2 linked regions of the Macaca mulatta genome follow. The protein of the gene in region 2 interacts with the protein of the main gene of each other region in a biochemical or structural test. Links are inferred from orthologs where the notes say so. Each region holds a gene or a part of one and is shown on either strand. Other genes may lie near its edges. The genes, in order: ACTR3 and CTTN.

Region 1 (3,817 bases), on a different chromosome or scaffold from region 2:
AAACTTTACCTGAGTCCACGACTGAGGGAAGAAAAAAAAAGTTTAAGGGCTCCCCTCTTCCCATGACCCCCCCACATAAGCCCCCATATTTAAAAAAAAAAAAAAAAGCTTTTTCTAAATCTACAAAAAATAGCAACAATTTCACTTGTTTAAAGAAAAGCAAATTTTTTCTTTAAAAATTTCATAAAACTTTTAAATAAAACTTTTCATAAAAATTCAAACGGTTTTTAGTATACTAATAAAAGTTTTTGAGATCAATTCTCTCTGAATATCCATTAATTGATATTTGCTGCTGAATATTTTTAAACAATTCCGTTAAAAAAAACTTACCTCTGGATGAAAAAATATTTCAGGTCCCAAAAATCTCTCATAACCAACATCGATAGAAAATTCTTTCTTTGAGATAGCATTGATTCCAGTATACTGTTTAATCCATTTTGACCCATCTGTATCATACTTGTTAAATTCTTTTACTAAATCTGGGCAGACATAACTATAACGCTCCTGAAAAACAAATAAACAAAAGTAACTTTTTTTGCCTATTACAGGAACAGTAAAAAAGAATGGCATGTTTTCAGTAAACTAGAATCAAATAAAAAAAAAAAAACTTCTTCAGAAAATAAAATTAGGAAATTAAGCTGGGAGTAAAATTTATGTTAGGATGTTATCATATGTGTAGTACAAATAAACATACTCATCTCCTACACATATTTTCTGACTTTAAATATAAATAATATTTGAGAGATTGGAGAGCTGATTTCTACTACTTCAGTGTTATTTCCTGAAAATGTTCATTAATGTCATTCAACATTTTCTGTCTCAGTAATAATGAATCTCGTGCTCTACGTAAGGAGAATAAATAAAATATAGAACTGAGGAATAAGTAATAATTATGATAACCACACAAATTAATTAGATCCTTAATATCTGAAACAAAACTGATTACAGTCTGAGTAAATAAATGAGCAAAGAAAGAACGCTAAAAATATAAATTACTCCATTTTGTTGCATATTTGGTTATATGACACCTAAGTAAAAGTTTTATCAAAAACATTGAAAAATATATTATAGATTATAACATCATATTTGTAATTTATAAACTCCCAACTGCCAGCCTATATATATATATTTTTAAAAAGCCTTCCTTTTCCAGTATTTTTATACATCACAGGCTCCATCCGAGATAGTTGCAAATATTACTAGTAATAATCAAAATACACAAAGAGAAAAAATACTGGAAACGAAAGACATTTGATTCACTATTTGAGGTCTTCTCCAAACCTTAGAAGTGGGAATGACAAGAAATGATACTCCTTTAAAGACATTCAGACTGACCATCAATCTTCTCTGGAATAGATTTAAATCTCTGGTGTTTTCTCATTTTGCTTTAATTTTACAGATTTCCCAAAGATGTTGAATCAGTAGTATTCACATTAACTTTTTATATATTTAATTCTTATGCCACCAACTTGGGGTAACTTTTGGCAGTCCTTTACTAATTTACTACCTAGGAAGTAGTTGATAAATTTTCATTCTTAAGCTCTGACGAGCAAGGAAAATCCCATAAACATGCAAAGAGGCCCAGGCATGGTGGCTCACAGCCAGCACTTTGAGATTCTGAGGCAGGAGGATTGCTTAAGGTCAGGAGTTCACGAACAGCCTGGGCAACATAACAAGACCTCCATCTCTACAAAAACTTAGCCAGACATGGTGATATGCACCTGCAGTTCTAGCTACTCAGGAGGCTGAGGCAGGAGGATCACGTGAGCCCAGAAGTTTGAGGCTGCAGTGAGCCATGATTGTGCCACTGCACTCTAGCTTGGATAGCAGAACAAGATCCCATCTCTATAAAAAATAAATCAATAAAAATAAGAAATAAAAAATTTAAAAATGTATAAGTGAAAAAAAAAACCATGCAAAGAGAGACAAATAAGTAAAAGTTACTTTTGCCAGGGCAGTTTTACTTTTCAAAACATGTGAGACCCACTGAAATTTTTTGGTTATGTGGCAAATAGTAAGTTTGAAAGATGATGTTAAAGTATTTTGATAGTTTGCATGAAGCATTGATATAATACTTACATGGCAGAAAAAATTTAAAAAATACTTTAGATAGCCTTAATGTTTTTCTATGTGCCCTATCACTTGAGTTAACACTGCCTCTATACTATAGCACAATGAATCAATTATATCAAAATAATTTTTATGACAAAAGCTTTTAAAATTAAAATAAAGAATTCAGTGAAGAAATTGAGATGCAAGCACTTTACAGTGAAATAATTATTTTTAATAAAGAGAATCACAAAAATTTATGGAGAGGTCATTTGGTAAAATGTTCTTATATATTACTCCTCTCAAATATAAAATATGAAGAAAATAGACAAACTTGTAATAATAATTTTCTTGCAAGAAATACAGAGAAAATGTAAATATACTTAAGAGTAATAATTTATAACTGGTTAACAAGATTATTTTAAGTACTGTTCTTCAATTAAAAATTTCTCATGTTAATGTTATAAATGTGATTTTAATTTTTAACTAAATTACACTTCTATCTCACTTTTTACCTTTACTGCCTTAGCAGTTTCCAAGGATTGTTCTGGAGGGATTCCTACTTCTCGGTCTCTCAGCAGTTGCTGAATAAAATATGTTATATCTCGTCCTGCGATTGGAATGTGTTTAATACAGCTGCCAATCACATACCCTTCAGCCTAGAGGGGGGAAAAAGATTTCAAATTTACTTTCAATGCTTTGAAAATTAATATAACCTAAAAATATGAACCATTAAAGACCAATTTATCAAGTTAGTGTATTCATATTCTCAAGTACTGTTTTATCCCAGAATTCACCTTTATTCATCAGAAACAATAACTAAGAATGGCCAGCAACTTGAGATTTATTTTCCCATTGACAATTTATAACTATGACTAAAATAACAACACAGAAACAGTAAATTTCAAAATAGAAATATCAAATGGTTTAGATAGCAGACTTTATATCAGATAGTACTATTTTAAAATCATTTATAATTTCAGTAATTATAATTTAGAATGTGTCATAAGAAATTTGACAAAGTGCCTATCATTTTTCTAATGAAGTATGTATCCATTTCACAAACCTGAAGCTTTCCACACACCACCATAATGTCAAATAACTAAATTCTGTAGAACTGATTCACAAATTCACTGATGTGTCAGAAGTATAACAAATAGTGTGGCAAAATTAAATTTCATTAGGAAAGAATATTAAGGATGCCTTCAGCGGCCATGACAGAATATTAGGGACTGAACTCACCCTCTCAACTTAAATAAAGGACACTTTATAAGAAATAAAGGTTTTCAGACATTTGACAATTGGCAGAGTAGGGCAGAGATACTTTCTAAGAAAAGGGAAACAAATAAAGTGAATGTTACAAACACTCTATCCTACTGCCTAGGGAAAGTTACTAGGCCACAACAACGAGAAAGAGAACTAAAACAGAACTGGTCTCATTAAGTTAGGGATATAGAATTTAAAGGTCAGAAAGGCAAAAGTGGCTAAAGTTTGTAGGCCAAATTATTGGAGGGGAAGGAGTTGCACCAACGGAGAGCTGGGAAGATGTGAAGAGAATATCTCCTTAACTGAATACTGATCAGCACATTCCTGTGAGGAAACCATCAAGGTGAGAGAAAGAACCTCTAAAAAAAGTAGACAGAACAACCAACAGAGCTCACACATGGCCAGAAATAGTTCCTGATCCCACTAGCCAAAGTTGAAAGATGTTTTCAAATACAAGACAACAAGTAGAGTCCTCAGAGAAATATTGCCTCAAGAATGGGGA
Region 2 (3,817 bases):
GTGACGGTCAAGACATCAGCCTGTGTGAAAAGAAAAGCCCAACGCAGACCTCAACTGCACTGTGCCAATCCAGAGACCTGCGGGGCAGGGAAAGATTTCAAGGACTTGGTGACGCTGCCCGGCAGGGGCAGAAGAGGCTCCCAGCAGCCCTCCCAGCGACCTGGGTAAGGGATGAGTAGAGATGAGGACGAGCCGGGGTGGGCACAGGAAAAAATCCAGGGTCTCTGCTAGAAGGCACCTGATCCCGTGGGCTGTCACGGTATGACACAGGCAGATTTCCCATCTGACGTGGCAGCTCCTGTGTTCTGGGTGACTTAGCTCCGTGTTAACCTCCAGCAGGCCCGCCCCTCTCCCCCCAAACACTGAGACTCTAGAGGGAGCCCTCGTCTGGGACAGTCCTTCCTGCCTACCCGCCACAGGGCCTGGGACAGTCCTTCCTGCCTACCCGCCACAGGGCCCACCTGAGGCCTCGTGCTTGTCGTGGGAGGCCCCGACTGCACTTGATGAGCACGAGGGCAACACGCACTCAAGAGAATGCGAGCTCCCTGAAGCTGCCGCGTGTGACAGTCAATTTGGCAAAAAATAAAACAAAAAAAACCCCATCAATCCATCAATGCATAAAACCAATTACCAAAGTCCTCCTAAGGAATGTGATTACAATATATTAGCAAATTCTGTGGCATAAACATTTTCAAAAGCATCAGCAAAAGTATTAAATATAAAAGCAATGTGTATATTCTCCTCCCCACCTTCAAAAAAAACCAAAAAAACCAAAAAAACCCAAAACCCAAGAACCAAAGAAGGCCTGATCTGTAGTGTGAGGGTCCGGGGCGCAGCTCCGGGGGCTGGGGGCTGGGGGCCCTACTGCCGCAGGTCCACGTAGTTGGCTGGGAAGAGCCCGTACCGGCCCTTGCACACCCCACGCCACCAGCCGTCGTCAATCATTTCGATGTTGGTGATGATGTCATCGGGGTCAAATGAGATCTCATCATCACCCGCTGGGGAAGAGAACGCAGAGAAAGGTGCTAAGTGCGAGCGTTTCCTGGTCTGCTAGAAAAGAACAGGGCAACCCAGAGCAAACTCCCAGGCAGCCTGCTCAGAGGAGACGCCCCTGCAGAGATGCACTGCGGAGGCTCCTGCTGCCTCTCTTGCCACCAAGGCCAGGATTTGTCAAGAACATGAGCCAAGTGACTACGGAGATGCCCAGAGCCCCTCACACAAAACACCCACCCCACCCGGACCCCTTCCTCAGGAGCAGGTTTCCACCACGTAACTCCAGCCCTGCCCGCCCTCCCTTCCCCTCTCTCCCTGGCAGACGTGTCTGTGGAGGGGGTGGGGAGATGGGCTGCCCAAGGCCATGGGGGTGTGGAGGCCACAGCAGAGGGACGGCTGGGGGACACCCGGAGAGAAGCCCGAGGTGATGGCTTAAATGGGCCTGGAGGGCAAAAGCCACGGTGATGAGAATCCACACACAGGTGCCGAGATGCCACAGACATATCCACACGTGTGCATGTAAACGCACGTGTGCAAAAGGGACTGAACGGGGACAGCCAGCGCTCACTTATGGTAGCATGCCAACTTCCGCACTGATGGAAAATTGCAAACGGGAAGCACTCAGAGGCAGCGGCCGGGGGTTCGGAAAGGAATCCTACGCCACCCATAAGATGCTTGTCAACTGCAGAGGGGTGGCAGTGGCTTTGTGGACCAGATGGTGGCTGAGACAGAGGGACAGGTGGACGCCACGCGGCACAGCAGGGAGCCCCACCACATGGTCTCCACGACCTCACTGCCACCAGAGCACGGCTCAGCCTGGCCCTGAGGGAACACAGGGCAGGCGGCTGAGGCCAGCCCAGGAGCTGAGGCTGCTCTTAAACTGCCAAGGCCGCAAAGGGAACTCAGGGGGACACGCTGGCCACATGGGAGCTGGCGGCCAGGACAGGACAGGCAGGAATGGGGCATCTGTGTGGCCCCCTCACCTGGAGGGTGGGGCATCCCTGAGGGACAGCGTCCTTGACCTTGGGAAACACGCTGGAGTCTTTGGGGCTGGCAGCACCCTTGCAGCTCTCCAAGGGTTCAGAGAATACTAAAGATAACGGGGTGGGTGCGTGTGTGTGCGGAGATGGAATCTGGGTAGGGAACATGGGAGTTCTTGGCACCATACCTGCTACTTTTCTATACCTCTGAAATTATCTCAACATAAATTATTTCTAAAACTAACAATGCTGGAGAAGTCAATTCTCAGGAAACAAGCACAGGCGGGTGCAGCCGCCCGGGTCTCCCCTCTGAACACTTTTGCGGGCCGCTCACCAGCCTGGTAGTCGTACAGGGCGACGGCTGTGATCCCCAGGTCGTTCTCGTACTCGTCGTAGGTGCTGTCCTCTAAAAGAAAGCCAGGACAGAGCTGAGCAACACAAAGTCCCACACAGGTTCCCAGCCTTCTCAAGTTTTAGACGACACTTCCCAAGATTCTGTCCCAAAGACACAGGACGGCCGCTGAAGCCCTCCCTTCCTCTGCCCTGCCCGCCCGCCCCCAGCACGACGGGGATCTTCCCGGGATGCAGCTCCGGAGCCGCTGCCCCAAATGTGTCTAGAGCACGTCCCTCAAGGGACAGAAAGACCCTGCAGCAAGCAGGCGAAGGCGGGTCAGCGGGAAACCCACCCACGCTCCTCGCAAGGACGCCACAGGTCGAGCAGGATGTCTCGGGAGCTCCCCACCGGGAAGGGCGCTGCAGCGTGGGGCCCAGTACCTGTGGGATAGTGGCCTGGGGCCTCTGTGCTTTCGTAGACAGCCTCTGTGGCGTAGGCCAGGCCCTGCTGGCTGCCGGCCTCTCGATAGTCAGCGGCCTCCACGCTGTACAAGGGCTCCGGCTCCGTCTCACTCACAGGGCCTCTGTAGCTCAGCTCTGCCTTGAAGGAAGCCGCGTCCTGGGGAAGGGTCACACGCACATGGCACGGGGCCCGTGTTGGCTTCCAGAGAGCAGCAGCTGCACTGCCACAGCCAGCAGAAACCCACAGGCCACCTAATTCTCAGTCCCAGCCAGGACTGAGAAAACAGATGTGGCACAGGAAGGCCAGGCCTGCTGGCATGTTCACCATGGTGGTGAGTGCGGGGAGGCCCACATGCCATTTCCTTACCGATGACTGGGTCCTCACCCCCGGAACACCCCAGTCCTGCAGTAGCCACGCCCACACAGCAGGTTAGGAGCCACGCCCCTGCCTGCGCTGTTGCCTGGGGGTAGAGCCCATCTTTGTTGGGTTAATTTGGCTGATTTCGAGGCACAAGGCACCCTGGGGCCGAGTGGCCACCCTCCTGCCCTGTGCTGCTCGACCCTGGCCCTGCCTGACAGCAGCTTCACCACATGGCTGCAGAGCGGCTGAGCCTGCAGACCGGGCTCTGCCCTAAACAAATCCTCTCTGCAGAGGGCAGTAAGGGCATCGCCGAAGAATCACATTCAACTACAAAGGTGCCAGCGGAACACCTCTTTATTTATAACCACCGCAGCTTCGGAGCCCTAACGAAAATCCCGACCCGCTTATCACCGATGCTGGCTTTAATCAGTGTTTCTGAGCAGGGTCCAACTGATGTCACCGGCAGTGAGAGAAAGCAATGCCAACAGCTCAGAAACGCGCACCCAGGAGATCCGGGAAGAACTGGTGGTGGAGCGCTGCTCGCCAGGGAGAGTGAGGGGCAGGGAGAGCGACTCCACCCTCAGCGCAGGCGCCGGGAGCCACGCAAGGGCCGAGCTGCACGGGACGGGCAGGGTCGGAGCTTCCTTGCGGCAGACGGCGCTGACTGCCAAGGGGAGGGACGAGAGGG

Evidence for each region.
Region 1: the proteins of CTTN (region 2) and ACTR3 form a complex in vitro, tested with the Homo sapiens proteins (3 studies listed by BioGRID). The link is inferred for Macaca mulatta from reciprocal best matches to the Homo sapiens genes CTTN and ACTR3.

What each region holds. Positions count from the first base shown.
Region 1 is NC_133417.1:23,658,940-23,662,756, forward strand, and holds part of ACTR3 (actin-related protein 3), read right to left. Parts: intron 2,709-3,817; coding exon 2,565-2,708; intron 505-2,564; coding exon 331-504; intron 1-330. UniProt on the Homo sapiens protein: ATP-binding component of the Arp2/3 complex, a multiprotein complex that mediates actin polymerization upon stimulation by nucleation-promoting factor (NPF).
Region 2 is NC_133419.1:4,232,837-4,236,653, forward strand, and holds part of CTTN (src substrate cortactin), read right to left. Parts: intron 2,926-3,817; coding exon 2,748-2,925; coding exon of another isoform or gene 2,684-2,747; intron 2,402-2,683; coding exon of another isoform or gene 2,380-2,401; coding exon 2,308-2,379; intron 1,026-2,307; coding exon of another isoform or gene 999-1,025; coding exon 862-998; 3' UTR 458-861; exon of another isoform or gene 423-457; 3' UTR 1-422.